Linked DNA regions of Astyanax mexicanus. The protein of the gene in region 2 interacts with the protein of the main gene of each other region in a pairwise test. Links are inferred from orthologs where the notes say so. Each region holds a gene or a part of one and is shown on either strand. Other genes may lie near its edges. The genes, in order: evlb and sptan1.

What was found.
Region 1: the proteins of sptan1 (region 2) and evlb interact in binary tests that used the Homo sapiens proteins (3 or more experiments, as listed by UniProt). The link is inferred for Astyanax mexicanus from reciprocal best matches to the Homo sapiens genes SPTAN1 and EVL.

What each region holds. Positions count from the first base shown.
Region 1 is NC_064408.1:73,272,943-73,280,740, reverse strand, and holds the start of evlb (enah/Vasp-like b), read right to left. Parts: upstream 3,025-7,798; 5' UTR 2,468-3,024; coding exon 2,382-2,467; intron 1-2,381. UniProt on the Homo sapiens protein: Ena/VASP proteins are actin-associated proteins involved in a range of processes dependent on cytoskeleton remodeling and cell polarity such as axon guidance and lamellipodial and filopodial dynamics in migrating cells.
Region 2 is NC_064424.1:38,748,150-38,756,138, reverse strand, and holds the start of sptan1 (spectrin alpha chain, non-erythrocytic 1), read right to left. Parts: upstream 3,050-7,989; 5' UTR 2,903-3,049; intron 1-2,902. UniProt on the Homo sapiens protein: Fodrin, which seems to be involved in secretion, interacts with calmodulin in a calcium-dependent manner and is thus candidate for the calcium-dependent movement of the cytoskeleton at the membrane.

The DNA.
Region 1 (7,798 bases), on a different chromosome or scaffold from region 2:
CACTTAGCCCTAGAGCAGTGAACTGTAAACAGCCAGAAAATCCACACCACAAAACCCAACAGCCACACCACAGTAAATATGTGTGACCCAGCTCCACTGCTAAAAGCCCCTACACTGTGGTCTGGCTGATGTTCACTCATTATAGTGCAAACAGAAAGAAGAATTGATATTCCTATAAAAGTGACAGGACAAACTATCTGACAACCTCCATCCAAAGCAGACACACTGCTTTTCTTCATGGGTCATTAATAGTGACTTGTTTTTCAGTCAGTAATTTTCCACCCTGCTTCTTATTCTACAGGTCTCTGTGAGGTTGGAGTTGGTGAAACATCTCTTTACTAAAACAATATGTGACAAATCCCTATGGATAGCAAATAAAATCTCTTCTCTGGCCCTGATTCCTGCAGGACAGGGTATGGATTTATAGCCGGTAATACAATCCTTGCTCTGCAGGAACAACCACCAGCTCTACGTCCAAGTCAAACACACACAGCGATTATCTCCCAAACCAGAGAAAACACACTCTGAATGTGAGTCAAACACATTCTGGAGGAGCATGCAGGCGACCGTGCCAAACTCAAAATCCAGTGGTGAGGCTTGAGTTTTTTTTCTTCTTCTACAGTCCAGCAGGAAGGATTGAGCCATCGCAGAAATAAAATCTGATTAGGACCAAAAATACCCGGCCCGGGTCTTTAAATCGGCTCTAATCGTGCGATTGGGAGAAAAAATGGATGGGTCCTGCCGAGAGGCAAGAGATTAGAGGGCGAGATGAAATCTGAAACGATGGATGAGTGGAGAAATGGACAGATAAAGTCAGGTTGGCGATGAAAGCACAGGGTTACTGAGAACGCTAGGCCCTGATCCCAGTCGAAAAACAAACTGTTTAACTCAGAACTGAAGAGAGCAGGTTCTGGAAATGTAGTAAAACTCACCATATTTTATTACTGTGATTAGTAACAGTGTTGTGACAAAAAAAAAATCTAAAAATTGGGGAAAAGAAGGAAAAATCCCAAATTCCAAATAAGAATATTGTCATTTAGAGAATTTATTTGCAGAAAATGAGAAATGGCGGATAAAAAAGATGCAGAGCTTTCAGACCTCAAATAATTCATATTCATAAAAGTTTTAAAAGTTCAGAAATCAATATTGGTGGAATAACCCTGTTTTTTAATGACAGTTTTTAATGCATCTCCTCCACCAGTCTTACACGCTGCTTTTAGATAACTTTATGCCACTCCTGGTGCAAAAATTCAAGCAGTTCAGCTTGGTAGGATGGCTTGTGATAATCCATCTTCCTCTTGATTATATTCCAGATGTTTTTAATTTGGTTAAATCAAAGAAACTCATAATTTCTAAGTGGTCTCTTATTTTTTTCCAGAGCTGTATGTTTGCCAAAAGTCATGAGACAGGACTTAGTATTGTGTCCCATTATTTTTTGCCATTGCCATGTCTAGTGGAAGTGAGTGAGTGGGCCATCTGCACTGAATAGGGATGTGATTATTTCCAGTTGGTTAACTGTTTACACAGACAATTCTAATCAAATGCTGCAGATTGGCCACAGTTATTACCATCTACTGCACTGTGCACTGTGGATGGTAATGCCATCTATGATGTATTTCCAGTCTGCATGTGACCCTGTGGATTTAGGAATATTAAATGCCAGTGCAAAGAAATGGAATGTCCCAACCAGCTAACAAAACTCAAACAGTCCATGTGTTCAACCTCAATCTCAAAATAAGAATTTTAAATTTATACAAATGTGTCTTTTCCCAAGTTACCCCCTCAGGTAACAGGTAACGATCAATTTACATACTGCTATCCCATGTACAAACAGCCCCAGCGGTGCTCCCTACAGGTTTGTTGTACACTGTGTCATGTGCATCAGTTCTTTTGAACGGTACCTGAGCAACCAATAAAAGTGATGCTCCCCTGCATCTCAAAGATGCTCTTTCTTTAGAAACCTGTGTTAGAAAGTGCTGATTCAAGCTCAGAAGGTCAGCAGCACCATCCTACACTATTGAATGTAGACTGAGAATGCAGACCTTTGAAGTTATACAGCTAGAACTCAAGAGTATTCTGCTCTAACTGTACTGCTGATGCAGCTTCACGAGGCCTCGGAGGAATCACCTTCACCAACAGCCTGCAGAAGGCGAGAAAGACAGAGCGAGACACAGGGAAAACAAAAGAGCCACAGTCTTACACTTCAATTGCATTAAGAGCATCTGTGTCGGCGCTAGCCGCAGCCTGGCAAGCTCCAGCAGAGACTGTAAATCAAGCATCCTCCAAACCTCCTCATTCTCATAAAAGCCGCTCAATTAGAATTCCGCTCCACACCTCCGAGCAGCCACAGAGGACAGCGGGCAGCTGCCACTGAAACCTACCTGATCTTATACTCGGTGACCTGAGCGCCAGCATCACAGTAGATCTGGGGGAAGTAGAAGCGGTGTGACTGGAGGTTAATATCCATCGCTTCAGGTCATAGCAGAGAGGAACAGGTTGCTCTTTCCTCTTTCTCCTCTACCTTCTGACCGGCCGTCTCGTTCACTCGCTCGTTTGCTCGGTGGGTGTCAGGATCCCCTCCCCCTCTTCCGTTCTCACTACCCTTGTAGTAGATCTTAACGTTAATGGTTCAGTAACTGAAACAGCAGAAGCATCTCAGCCACCTTGTCCAAAGCAGAAAGGAGTTGCAGAAAGGCCAACGTCCATCACACACAGCACTCTTTCACACACTCCTAGCTTCTTTCTAAAACCCCAATCCTTGAAGAGCTCGGCAGAGTCAATAGTCAAAAAGAGGAAAAAATGAAAATCAAATTAACTGTGATAAGCTTTAAAAAGAAAAAGAGCTGTAATCTCATCCTCAGTCAATCAGAGCAGACGAAGAGCGCCGCACTGGAGGAGCACATTAATGAGTGAGTAGTGGAAAGAGAGAGAGAATGAGAGAGAGAAAGAGAGAGAGAGAGAGAGAGAGATAGAGTGCTCTTCTCGGTTGAATGAAATTATGATGCTCGCTATGAGGCATCACCCTCGCACTGACTCTCTCTCTTTCTCGTTTCATCTAGTGGATTACCAGCTCCCTCCCCCAACCCTACATCTCTCCATCCCTCCCTTCCTCTATCCTTCTCTCCTCCTCCTCCTCCCCTTCCAGCTGTGACATGAGAGATGGTCGGCTAGCCCCATAGGCCAGGAGCCCCCCTCCCCCTCAATGCCAATGCTGCTGGCTCCTCCTCTTTCCCTCTCTCTCTCTCTCTTCTTCTCTCCCTCCATCTATTCATTCCTCAGTTCTCCCTCTCCCTTCCTCACTCCATTCCTCCTCGCTCTCTGTGTTAGGGAGTAGTCAGCTCTAATGTTAAACCAGTGTGGACAGTGGGGAGGGGTGTGGTTGTGACTGTTAATTAATAAAGGGCATTTGTGGCTTTTTGATCAAGATCAAGATCAAGTGAAGAATTAAAGCGACAGGAGGATCTTCCATCACCCTCCCAGTGATGGGGATACTATAACGTTCCATACAATCTGTCTTTCATTCTGACTGGGCCATTTAAACCCCAGTTGTCACTTAACATGTTTGAACATTTTGATCTCACATGAATTCCTATTATTATGAATTCCGATTATATTTCGAACATGTAGTGTAGTACATGTACACATACACTATATGTCAGTTTCCCAGCCAGGGATTAAGACTAGTGTTAGGCTTTCCGTTGCTGTGTAGCCCAAGACTAGGCTAAAATTATATCTGGGAATCTGCTTCTATATGTACAAATGTTTGTGGACACACCTTCTAATGAATGCATTCAGCTGATTTAAGGGTGTTTTCACACCAGAATTTTTTATTCTGCTTGGATTGAAGTAAGTAAATGATGTGGGGTTGATGCTGCAGTTGGTCAGGTCTGGGTTTTAGCAACAATATGTGCTGAAAGAATGAGGTCAGCTGACTACCTGAATATACTGAATATAGACCAGGTTATTCCATCAATGGATTTTTTCTTCCCTGATGACACGGGCATATTCCAAGAGGACAATGTCAGGATTCATGGGTCTGGAATTGTGAAAAAAAATGATTCAGGGAGCATGAGATCATCATTTTCACACACGAATTGTTCACCACAGACTCCAAACTTTAACCCCATTGAAAATCTTTGGGATGTGCTGGTGAAGGCTTTGTGCAGCGGTCAGACTCTACCATACATCTTGTTACATTGCAGAAGCTTATCGAAACAATGCCACAGTGAATGCGTCCCTCTATCAGACCTAAAGACGCTCCAATGAAATATTAGAGTTTGTGACCTTTTTTTTCAGCCAGGCAGTGTAGAATAGAATAGAATAGAATAGAATAGAATAGGACTCTCTGAAGAAGAGAGTCCTGAGGAACATGAACCTTTAGGCAACATGCCTGCTGCCAGGCGTCGGCTAGAGGGATATAATTCATAGCATTGAGCTATGAAGAAGTTGAACTGTGCTGTCTGGAATGGCAATCAGGTTCTTACAGTAATGATTTACAATCTAGCAAAAAGTATTCTCTGGACAATACTGACAGTTACTCCAACAAAAGCAGGATAAACTTGTTTTTTAATAACCTTGATTTCAGAAGAAACTATTAATGCCAAAGTGTCCATGCAGTAAATAATGACAGAAAGTCCAGTACGGTCTGTCACACTTACTGACCTCAGAAACAATTTACAGAGCTGCTGCTGATACAGTCTAGTCTGCACAGCTTTATGTTGTTTAATATGGTCATTACCTATGATGCATTTGTGAAGTGTAAGAGCATAGGTAGTGCTTTCCTGTGATTGCAGTGTACAGCACAGAGTAGAGGCCATGTCCTGTCTTCTGCTTATTCAGAAGGTTCTGTTTGTATTATTTTCTGATGTGTTGCACTAGATTGTGTAATCCTATCACAAAGCTTTATGTAATTTTATACAATCATACCAAATCGTTTTTTCTCTGATTCAGTCCCAAAAGGTATCTGCAAGACTTAAGCAAAAACAAATGTTGTGACTGATCTGCAGTCTTTTCTGTAGTCTTTTTAAGTATTACATCATCAGTTATTTATCAGTTTACATCCTAGAATCAAATTTAGGAATCTAAAAATAAAAATCATATATTACAAAAATGTTACAGAAAATACTGTGAGGTGAGTATAAGCTGATATTAAAATGTTATATCATGATTATCTAACGTTTTATCAAATTTTAAAAGATGACCTTCATATTTTAAGCAGTACTCTGTATGAGGTATACTACATGTGCTATAGCAGTGGGCAATATGGCTCTAGAAATGTCACAGTATTTCAGGATATTTTTGATTTATTCTTGTCAACATGAAAGAAAACATTGAAAATATTTTGTTAATATCCAGAAAATACTACTGCAATAAAAAAATAACAATAGAAACATAATATCTCTAAGTCTATGTGTACTTCGTAAAAAGCAGTAAGGTATTTCATCCATAATGTGCGGATAAAATGAAAAATGTCTTTCTCAATAAGAGCAGCAGCTGCCAGTGAACCTCCTATTAAATCCATAACAATCAATAGGCCTCTAGCAGACCTGTAGCCTATATGTAGTTCATTAACTCAGAAAGCCTACACACTGATTAAATTACATAAATTAAATTAGATCCAGGAACAAAGGCATACATTCTGATCTCCAGTCCATTTAATCGCGTCTCTCTGATGTTATTACCAGGTCAACACATGCATTTAGTAATGATACTTATTGCTGGAAAAGGAATCTAATATGCTCACACGTATCATACTTTAACAGTAATTAATGTACGCTTACATTCTAAAACAGCTATATTCTAGACCCAAGTTATCATAGAAGTAACACAAGTTACAGATTATGACTTAACTTGGCTTATGATCTAAAACATACTGATTCTTCTATACATTTTTATGGTTGCACATTGCAAAGCACTGCAAAAATATATAGTTATTCATCTGTTTTCCATTTTGATAATTTTTATCTGAGATGTTTGTGGCATAACTTGGCCGGTTTTGAGATTTCAACTCCAGATTTTCATTCTAATTGTGTGATGCATACAGGGTGAAAAAGTTACAGTGATACAAATGCACTTTTATTACCTAAAAATCAATACAGAAACTCACAGCACATTACCTGTGAGAACAACTTGGGAAACCATAGCAACCGCCTTGTAACCACCTAGCAACCACAAAGTCAACATCCTAGCAGCTGAAATCCTACAGCAATAATCATACCTAACTAAAGAACCCATCTTGTGTTAGAAATACTATAGCAACCACCTGATACACCAGGTATCACCTACCACTTAAAAACACCACTGCAACCACCTGCGATACTGAAGCATTCAGGTGGCTACACCATAACAACCTCTTAGTAATACCAGTGCCACCACCTTGGACGCCATAGCATTTAGTTATCCACACCATAGCAACCTCTTAGAAACACCACAGCAACCACCTGGTATACCATAGCCTTAATTTAGCTACACCATAGCAGCATCTTAAGAACACGACAGCAACCACCTGGTATACCATAGCCTTAATTTAGCTACATCATAGCAACCTCTTAGAAACACCACCAAAGATACTATAGCATTTAATTAGCTACACCAAAGCAACATCTTAGAAACACCACAGCAACCATCTGGAATACCACATTAATCGCCTTCCAACCAGCTAGCAACACCATGAAAACCACCAGGAATACCATAGTTACCATTAAGCAACAGTTAACTGCAAGGAAAAGGAATGCACTTGAGCTATTAAGTATATTTTTATATTAGCAAAGTCATGTAAACGATATTATAGCTTTAATGGGACAAACTAGCATTTTTCACAAAATAAAAATTAATTGATTTTTATAAGAAATCAAATGAAGAGCTGAAAGATTTGTTAGAATTAAAATAATACATTTACTGACTGGCAACTGCTTGTTACAAGCAAAAACTGCTTGTTGAAAGCGAAGTGACATCAGCATTAAAAGAAAAGACTAGCTTCAGACATGCTAAAGACCTGTTACTGAATCTAAAAAATGAATGAATCACTACTTGTGTACCTTTTCAGCAATAACAGACTATTAGAAATAGCGATTAATGCTTCCAATTTCTTTACTGTATTATTATTTAATGTATCATTATTTATACGTGTGATTTTCTGTTTGTTAAGAGTGGACAGGAAGAGAACATACAAATCCCTGAGAACCAGGAAGTGGAGTGTTCAGCTAGGTTCCGAAAACCCTAATCATAACACTAATCATACATTATATACAGTCAGCCATCAACACAAACAGGTAGGTAGATGTATAGATATGGAAATATTGTAGAGGCTGTTTAGACAAAGGTACATGCAGCCCCTCCCCCCAGCACCATCCCCACCACTCTCTCTCTCTCTCTCTCTCCAGCAGGTTCCTGCCTGACTGCAGATTGCATTCTAATCCTTAAAGGGGAACACCTCCATTTGAGCTCAGCCAAGAGTGTCTACTGTAACTGTACAGCCATTAGCGCAATACAGAGGAGCTCAGCCTTCTGTTAGACTCGCACCCGATCACACTGGATACAGAGCAGCACTACTGAGAGTGAAATTAAAGGGGGGAGAAACACAGATGAACAGATTGAGGCAGAGATGAGTAATTAAATAAGCATATGAATGAAGCAGAAGCAGAGCCATCAAACCTAATTCAGTTTTACTGGAGGAGGGAGAGTGTGAAAAGACGAATGACGCAAAGGAGAGAAAAATGAGAAAGAACAGCCTAAAGACACAAGAATGCATAGAAAAATGGATAAAAAAGGAAGGAAGATGAACCAGCAAGAGAGATGA
Region 2 (7,989 bases):
GTCTGGCGATTACAATGTCTGCATATTCATAATAATTAAACTTCTTGAATGTAACTGGATTATTATTTTTTTTATCATTATATTTTCACTATATCAGTGTCATAACATGATGGTGTTAGTATGACAATACTACTGTTTATTGCAATAATTTGTGGGAGAGTACATCACCTTAAAAATAAATCATGATGAAAGGCTTAGGTGCTACAAAGTGTTTTTGAGCAATGTCATAAAAGAACCACTTTAGTTCAATAAACAGGTTTACATTAAAATAATTTGCACACACACAAACTTCAATTTAAAAACAAAATCTGTAACAAAATGTTTTTTTTGTGGCACTGCTCAAAGAACCGTTCCCATTAATTGTTAAAATGTGTACTAAAAAAATCTGTCATGGATACTAAAACTTTTTTGTTTACAACCATTTCACCTGAGCAGAAAGGCAGAAAGAGTTTTTTTTGCATGGATATTATGGGTGTAGACTTGAGTCAGCTACAATGCACAGCTGTGCAAGAGGAAGCAGCTTGATCCCAAGGGCCCCTGAGAAGGACCCCAAGTTCCAGTGCTTTAGCTTTTGGGACCACACCCATTGGAGGAGAGGTTTAAAGTCGGTGTGCATTACATCAGCTCCAGAGGAAAAGGAAAAGGGAGGAGAGCATTCCTTACTGGACGTCCTTCCTCTATCAGACACTGGTCTGGGTAGGTGGCTGATATCATTGCTAAATACCTAAATAACACATGAACAACAGACTGCATAGGTGTAACAGAATATAATATCCAAGGCTCTCTTACCAAAATAGGCCCAAAATGTGAATAGCAACTGCAATTCAGAGCGTCTGAAGAAACTAAAGCTCACACACTGACTGTAAATGTCACCTCATTCATGTCCTCTGAGGAGAAACAAACCACTTGTGGGTTTTAGTGTGTTTTTTTTATGTACAGATCACAAGCCATGCATGCTAATTAGGGCCAAGCACAAAAACATTCCACTATTTCTTTCATTCATTTGAAGCAGCTCTGCAGCCGATCAACTGCTCTGTGGGCATGTCATGGTGATAGTGAATGACACAGCAGAGCTGAGATCATGTATATCTGAGGATTTAATTTCAGTCTTACCCTCCCCAAAAAACAACAACAAAAAACAACACCAAAAAATGGTTCACTTAGTAGCTGAACAGTTCCCCATCATTATAAAGGCACTAAGTCTGAATGGAATTAGAGGAATTCTGGTAGGGAACGCAGCTGCTGACACCCAGTCAGGGTAGGCATAAGAAGGCAAACATTTAACCTGATCTACACCTACTAATGCATTTTTAAAACCAGAGTGACTCTTTAGGTCCTTTATAATAATTCCACAATACTTAATGGGTGCAAACATCCAGTTCTATTTGTTTTTACAGGAATTGTTTGTTTGTTAAAGGCAAATACTGGCAATGCATCCATTCATTAATATCCACCCTTTAGACACTGACTACAGAACTCATATACAACTAGATTGCAGTTCCTACAGAAACTGCGAGTGTGATTGCAGAGAATTATACATGTTAACATAAATCTAGCTCACTGAATGTTTACAATGTACAGAGACTTTACCTGCTGTACTGCTTACACTGGACTGTATAGTTACACTATACTACACATTGTATAAATATAAACTATAAAAACAGGTGTTTTATAGTTATACATGTATTTTACTTGTGTTTACACCGTATATTATTATTAATCATATTTATTTTTTTTACTAGCTATCTTCGCCATGTCTGTACACTGTGCTAATGCATTTTGTGAAATTCTTTTTGAGATTAATTAATGCCCATTTAATGATATTCAGACGTTACTCTCGATGTGATATTTGAAATATCCAGCCTAGAGTTGTATTAATATTTTATACACACTGTAATTTAATGGAAAGCCTCGATGAATGTGGTTGTTTTCAGGTCGCTTATCTAAATTCATTGAGAGAGGAGAGCTGGGCGGCTCCTCGAACATAGCTGTTTGTCACTGCAGACGAAAAAGATCGATTTGAACGTTTATATAGACCTGCAGACACAGTGAAGGACTAGAGAGCTACGTTTTACAGCTCGTTCATTCTTCCTCTGTATGAATTTTGCTGGACAGTAGTGTATTTTACGATGATTAGGAGATCGACAACCGAGCTAACCTAGTTAACCTACAGCTGTTGCAGCTAAACCGCCACCCGGGTGGCTACAGCGCTAACGAGTAAAACTCCATCCCAGGGTTTTGTAGCAACTGCCTGGGCGGCTCTGCTGCAGCTTAGCTAAACAAAGAGCCGCCCAGGCAAAACCCTGGGATGGATTTTTATTTTCTGGACCTGGGTTACCCACCTCTACACAGCTATAGCACAGCTAGTCTGCTTTGCAGACGGTGAAAGACGGTAAAATACGTTGATTTCGTTCATGAAAATACTGTTATTGTCAATAGTTTATGAAATACTTCACTAGCTAATATTGAACGGGCTAAACGGTTAGCTAAAATGGCGTAACGTTCAGCTATAGCTACCTACAACCTAAATTAGGTTAGTATTATGTGTTCTGGGCAAAACTGCAAAAACATACGGAGCATTAACTAGCTAACCTTGCTAACGCTCGCCTCGAAATAACAATGCTTAACTGCTATATTCGGTTAGCTAATTAAATAGCGCTAATAAATAACGTTATTAACTATGCAAAAAAGTACAATAAGCTGCAGACTCCGAACTGAAGGTGAGTGTAAGCTGGTGAATGGTGAGCGGTGACCGGGCCCCTCGGCGTTGCTAATGCCGTAAACTGTACCAACCGTAATTATGATTTAGCTCTGCAGAAACGCTTAAACACACACAGCTGCTGCTGTGTTAAACCGCTCTATATCTATACAGGTCCCCTCGGGCGGCGGCAGAGCTTCTTACCTCGCTGAGTTAAAGGTGTAAGGATCTGCTGGACCGGGTCAGGGCAGGGTGCAGCCTACGCTCGTACTGTAATCGCGATCTCGCTCTATGACTGAAACCAGCGAGGCCTTCAGAGGCGATGACGTCTGGCGCCGCAGCAACTCGCCGAGCGGTTCCGAGCGCTGCCGATAAATGCCGAGTCTCCGCTGCCAGAGAGCAGATTACGGTGCACTCAGGGTGAATGACGAAAAATGACAAAAAAAATGCACATATACGGGTCCTTCTCAAAAAATTAGCATATTGTGATAAAGTTCATTATTTTCTGTAATGACTTTCATATATTTTAGATTCATTACACACAACTGAAGTAGTTGAAGCCTTTTATTGTTTTAATATAGATGCTTTTGGCAAAAAAGTAAAGAAAAAACAAAAATCCCAAAAAATAGCACATTTCATCCGACCAATAAAAGAAAAGTGTTTTTAATACAAAAAAAGTCAACCTTCAAATAATTATGTTCAGTTATGAACTCAATACTTGGTCAGGAATCCTTTTGCAGAAATGACTGCTTCAATGCGGCGTGGCATGGAGGCAATCAGCCTGTGGCACTGCTGAGGTGTTATAGAGGCCCAGGATGCTTCAATAGGGGCCTTAAGCTCATCCAGAGTGTTGGGTCTTGCGTCTCTCAACTTTCTCTTCACAATATCCCACAGATTTTCTATGGGGTTCAGGTCAGGAGAGTTGGCAGGCCAATTGAGCAGAGTAATACCATGATCAGTAAACCATTTACCAGTGGTTTTGGCATTGTGAGCAGGTGCTAGGGCTGAACGATTAATTGCATTTGCATCTCGCGATATTTTAAAACGCGATTCTCTAACCGCACTGGCTGCGATTTGACTGGTCACGTGACTTGAGAGCGAGCCAAGCCGAGGACGAGCGGAGCATACCCGAGGACGAGCGGAGCATACCCGAGCAGAAGGCAGGGAGGTGGAGAAGTGAAGTCAACACAGCGCACTTTAGGGCGTTTTCACACCAGCACTATTTGGTCCGGTTAAAACGAACTCTGGAACTTTAGTGCGGTTCGATTGAGCAGGTGTAAAAACAGTAATCGCACTCCTACGGTGGCCCTGAAGTGCAAAACAAATTAACATGTCAGAAAACAAAATTACAAAAACTAAAACACATTTACAAAACTTAAAACAAATTTACAAGACGCAAAACACTTTTCCCAGCACTGAAACACTTTTACAAATGCTGAAACACTTTTACCAGCACTAAAACACTTTTACAAACGCTGAAACACTTTTACAAACGCTAAAACACTTTTACAAACGCTGAAACACTTTTACAAACGCTGAAACACTTTTACAAACGCTAAAACACTTTTACAAACGCTGAAACACTTTTACAAACGCTGAAACACTTTTACAAACGCTAAAACACTTTTACAAACGCTGAAACACTTTTACAAATGCTAAAACACTTTTACAAACGCTGAAACACTTTTACAAACTGCGATTTCTGACGGAAAGGGAGGGTCTAACACACAGGAAGTGCTTGATGCGGACCCTCCTTGTCAGTCAAGCTGCGTTACGATGAGAGAGTGGAGTTATGGACACTAAACTATGTTTTGTGGCACGTATTTTAGCAGCAACAGTAAATACTTAAACTATCCCTGTCCTGTTGCTACCCTGATGTTCAGCTAATGCCACGCGGCCATCAGCCACTGCCCCCGCCGCGGGGTTCAGCCACTGCCCCCCGGTTATCAGCCACTGCCCCCGCCGCGGGGTTCAGCTAATGCCACGCAGCCATCAGCCACTGCCCCCGCCGCGGGGTTCAGCTAATGCCACGCGGCCATCAGCCACTGCCCCCGCCGCGGGGTTCAGCTAATGCCACGCGGCCATCAGCTAATGCCCCCGCTGCGGGGTTCAGCTAATACCCCACGGAGTTCAGCCACTGCCCCGCGGCCATCAGCTAATGCCCCCGCTGCGGGGTTCAGCTAATGCCCCACGGAGTTAAGCCACTGCCCCGCGGGGTTCAGCCACTCCTGTACTGTATTACCTGAACAGTGGACAGTGGCTGATGGCCGCTGGGCATTAGCTGAACCCCGCGGCGGGGGCAGTGGCTGATAACCGCGGGGCAGTGGCTGATGCCCGCCGGGCATTAGCTGAACCCCGCGGCGGGGGCAGTGGCTGATAACCGCCGGGCAGTGGCTGATGCCCGCCGGGCATTAGCTGAACCCCGCGGCGGGGGCAGTGGCTGAACCCCGCGGCGGGGGCAGTGGCTGATAACCGCGGGGCAGTGGCTGAACCCCCGGGGTATTAGGTGAACCCCGCGGCAGGGGCAGTGGCTGATAACCGCGGGGCAGTGGCTGAACCCCCGGGGTATTAGAAGAACCCCGCAGCGGGGGCAGTGGCTGATGGCCGCCGGGCATTAGCTGAACCCCGCGGCGGGGGCAGTGACTGATAACCGAGGGGCAGTGGCTGAACCCCCGGGGTATTAGGTGAACCCCTAATTTATGCCTGTGGGAAACCAGACCGAACAGAGCGAGAAAACGCTCCAAGTAAACAAACTCATTAGAAACGAACTACAGGTGTGAAAACGCCCTTGTTGCACAATGGCTTCAGGCTCGACAGAACACAACAGTTGTGTAGAATTACTTTGGCTTTAAAAAAGAAGATGCTGCTCAACGTCAGGTACTGTGCTAAACGTGCCTTGCTACTGTTGCTACGACGCGAGGTAACACTACAAACCTTTTTCAGCATTTAAAAACACCACAAAGCCTCGTGTGGTATTTGCAAGGCTAAAATGCCAACGACCAGTGCTGCATCTTCAAATACAGAAAATAACGAGTTGGTTAAAGCAGATTCTCTTTATGTTTTTTGCACTTAAATTTTTCATGATGTTACTAGCTGGAGAGCAGTAAGTTAAAGTAAGTTAACAATCTACTGTTTTTCCTAATTAAAAAAAATGGTGAAAAGGAAAAGCTATTTATGTATTTATTTTTCTATAAAAAAAAACAAATGGTGAAAAGGAAAAGCATAGATTTTTTTGCTTTATTGTTATCTGTGCTTTAAATAAATCTGACATTGTTTATTATTAAACAGATTGATTTATTGCTTCTGTTGTTGAAAAATACTTGAGAAGACAAAAAAAATCGCATTTTAAATCGCAATCGCAATTTATAGATAAAAAATTGCAATTAGATTATTTTCCAAAATCGTTCAGCCCTAGCAGGTGCCAGGTCGTGCTGAAAAATGAAATCTTCATCTCCATATAGCTTTTCAGCAGATGGAAGCATGAAGTGCTCCACAATCTTCTGATAGCTAGCTGCATTTACCCTGTCCTTGATAAAACACAGTGGACCAACACCAGCAGCTGACATGGCACCCCAGACCATCACTGACTGTGGGTACTGACTTCAGGCATTTTGGCATTTCCTTCTCCCCAGTCTTCCTCCAGACTCTGGCACCGTGATTTCCAAATGACATGCAAAATTTGCTTCCATCCGAAAAAAGTACTTTGGACCACTGAGCAACAGTCCAGTGCTGCTTCTCTGTAGGCCAGGTCAGACTCTTCTGCCGCTGTTTCTGGTTTAAAAGTGGCTTGACCTGGGGAATGCGGTACCTGTAGCCCATTTCCTGTGCACGGTGGCTCTGGATGTTTCTACTCCAGACTCAGTCCACTGCTTCCGCAGAAGCACAATCTTCCTCAGGGTCCGGTCACCTCTTCTCGTTGTGCAGCGTTTTCTGCCACACTTTTCCTTCCCACAGACTTCCCACTGAGGTGCCTTGATACAGCGCTCTGGGAACAACCTATTCGCTCCGAAATTTCTTTCTGTGTCAGTGATGGCCTTCTGGACAGCAGTCAGGTCGGCAGTCTTACCCATGATTGCGGTTTTGAGTAATGAACCAGGCTGGGAGTTGTTAAAAGCCTCAGGAATCTTTTGCAGGTGTTTAGAGTTAATTCGTTGATTCAGATGATTAGCTTAATAGCTCGTTTAGAGAACCTTTACATGATATGCTAATTTTGTGAGATAGGAATTTGGGGTTTTCATGAGCTGTATGCCAAAATCATCAGTATTAAAACAATAAAAGACCTGAAATATTTCAGTTGGTGTGCAATGAATCTCAAATATATGAAAGTTTATTTTTTTAATTTCATTATGAAAAAGAATTAACTTTATTACAATATGCTATTTTTTGTGAAGGACCTGTTAATGAATAAATATAAAAATAAATAATTATATGTATGAATGAATAAATAAAAAAATAAACAAACATCCCCAAATAAAGGTTAATTTCTGGAAATATGGAAATAGATTCCTGATTTAATTTTTAATGTGTCCTTTGTAATGACAAAATGTATTTACTAATTTATTAATTTTATTAATCTATAAAATCATTTATGCATGTATTTATTTACTTATTCATTCATTTATATGTGCATTTACGTATTTATACTTATGTTCTCCTTCATACTTTTCTTACAAGATGCAAACATTAACACTTAAAGGACAGAGAGAAGATTAATTTAGTATTTTTTCCTGAAAATTTAATTTGAAAATGAGAAATGAAAAACCTAAAAAGAAAGAAAACTCATTATTTTCTATATAATCATTTAGCCTCCAACCATGTGCAAATTGAATCTGGTAGTATATGTAATAAATGTAATGAAACACACCACATGGAGTAAAAAATATTTTTAAATGATTTAGTTTATTCTCAATAATGAACACAGCAAACAGAGAACGCTATAAAAAGGTGCCTAAAAGGTTAACCTGTAATGTCACAGAATTAATGTCCCAGGAATGTTCTAAAAAAATGTGATGTAATACTGATTTGCATCAGGACGTTATTAGAATTATTATTATGTTTCTCACTTGACGTTCCTAGATAGATAAAATCTATGAATATAAAAACGATTATTAAAAACATTCTAAAAACATCCAAAAAACTGGACACATTGAACACCCTAAGAATGTTACCTGTAACATTTAGAAAACATTGTAATGACCAAAATGTGTTAGCTCCCAGCACTCTTGGGACATTCCAGTATTTTGGTACATTTCAGGGGTGGTCACTGAAAATCACTGAAGATCACTGAAAAT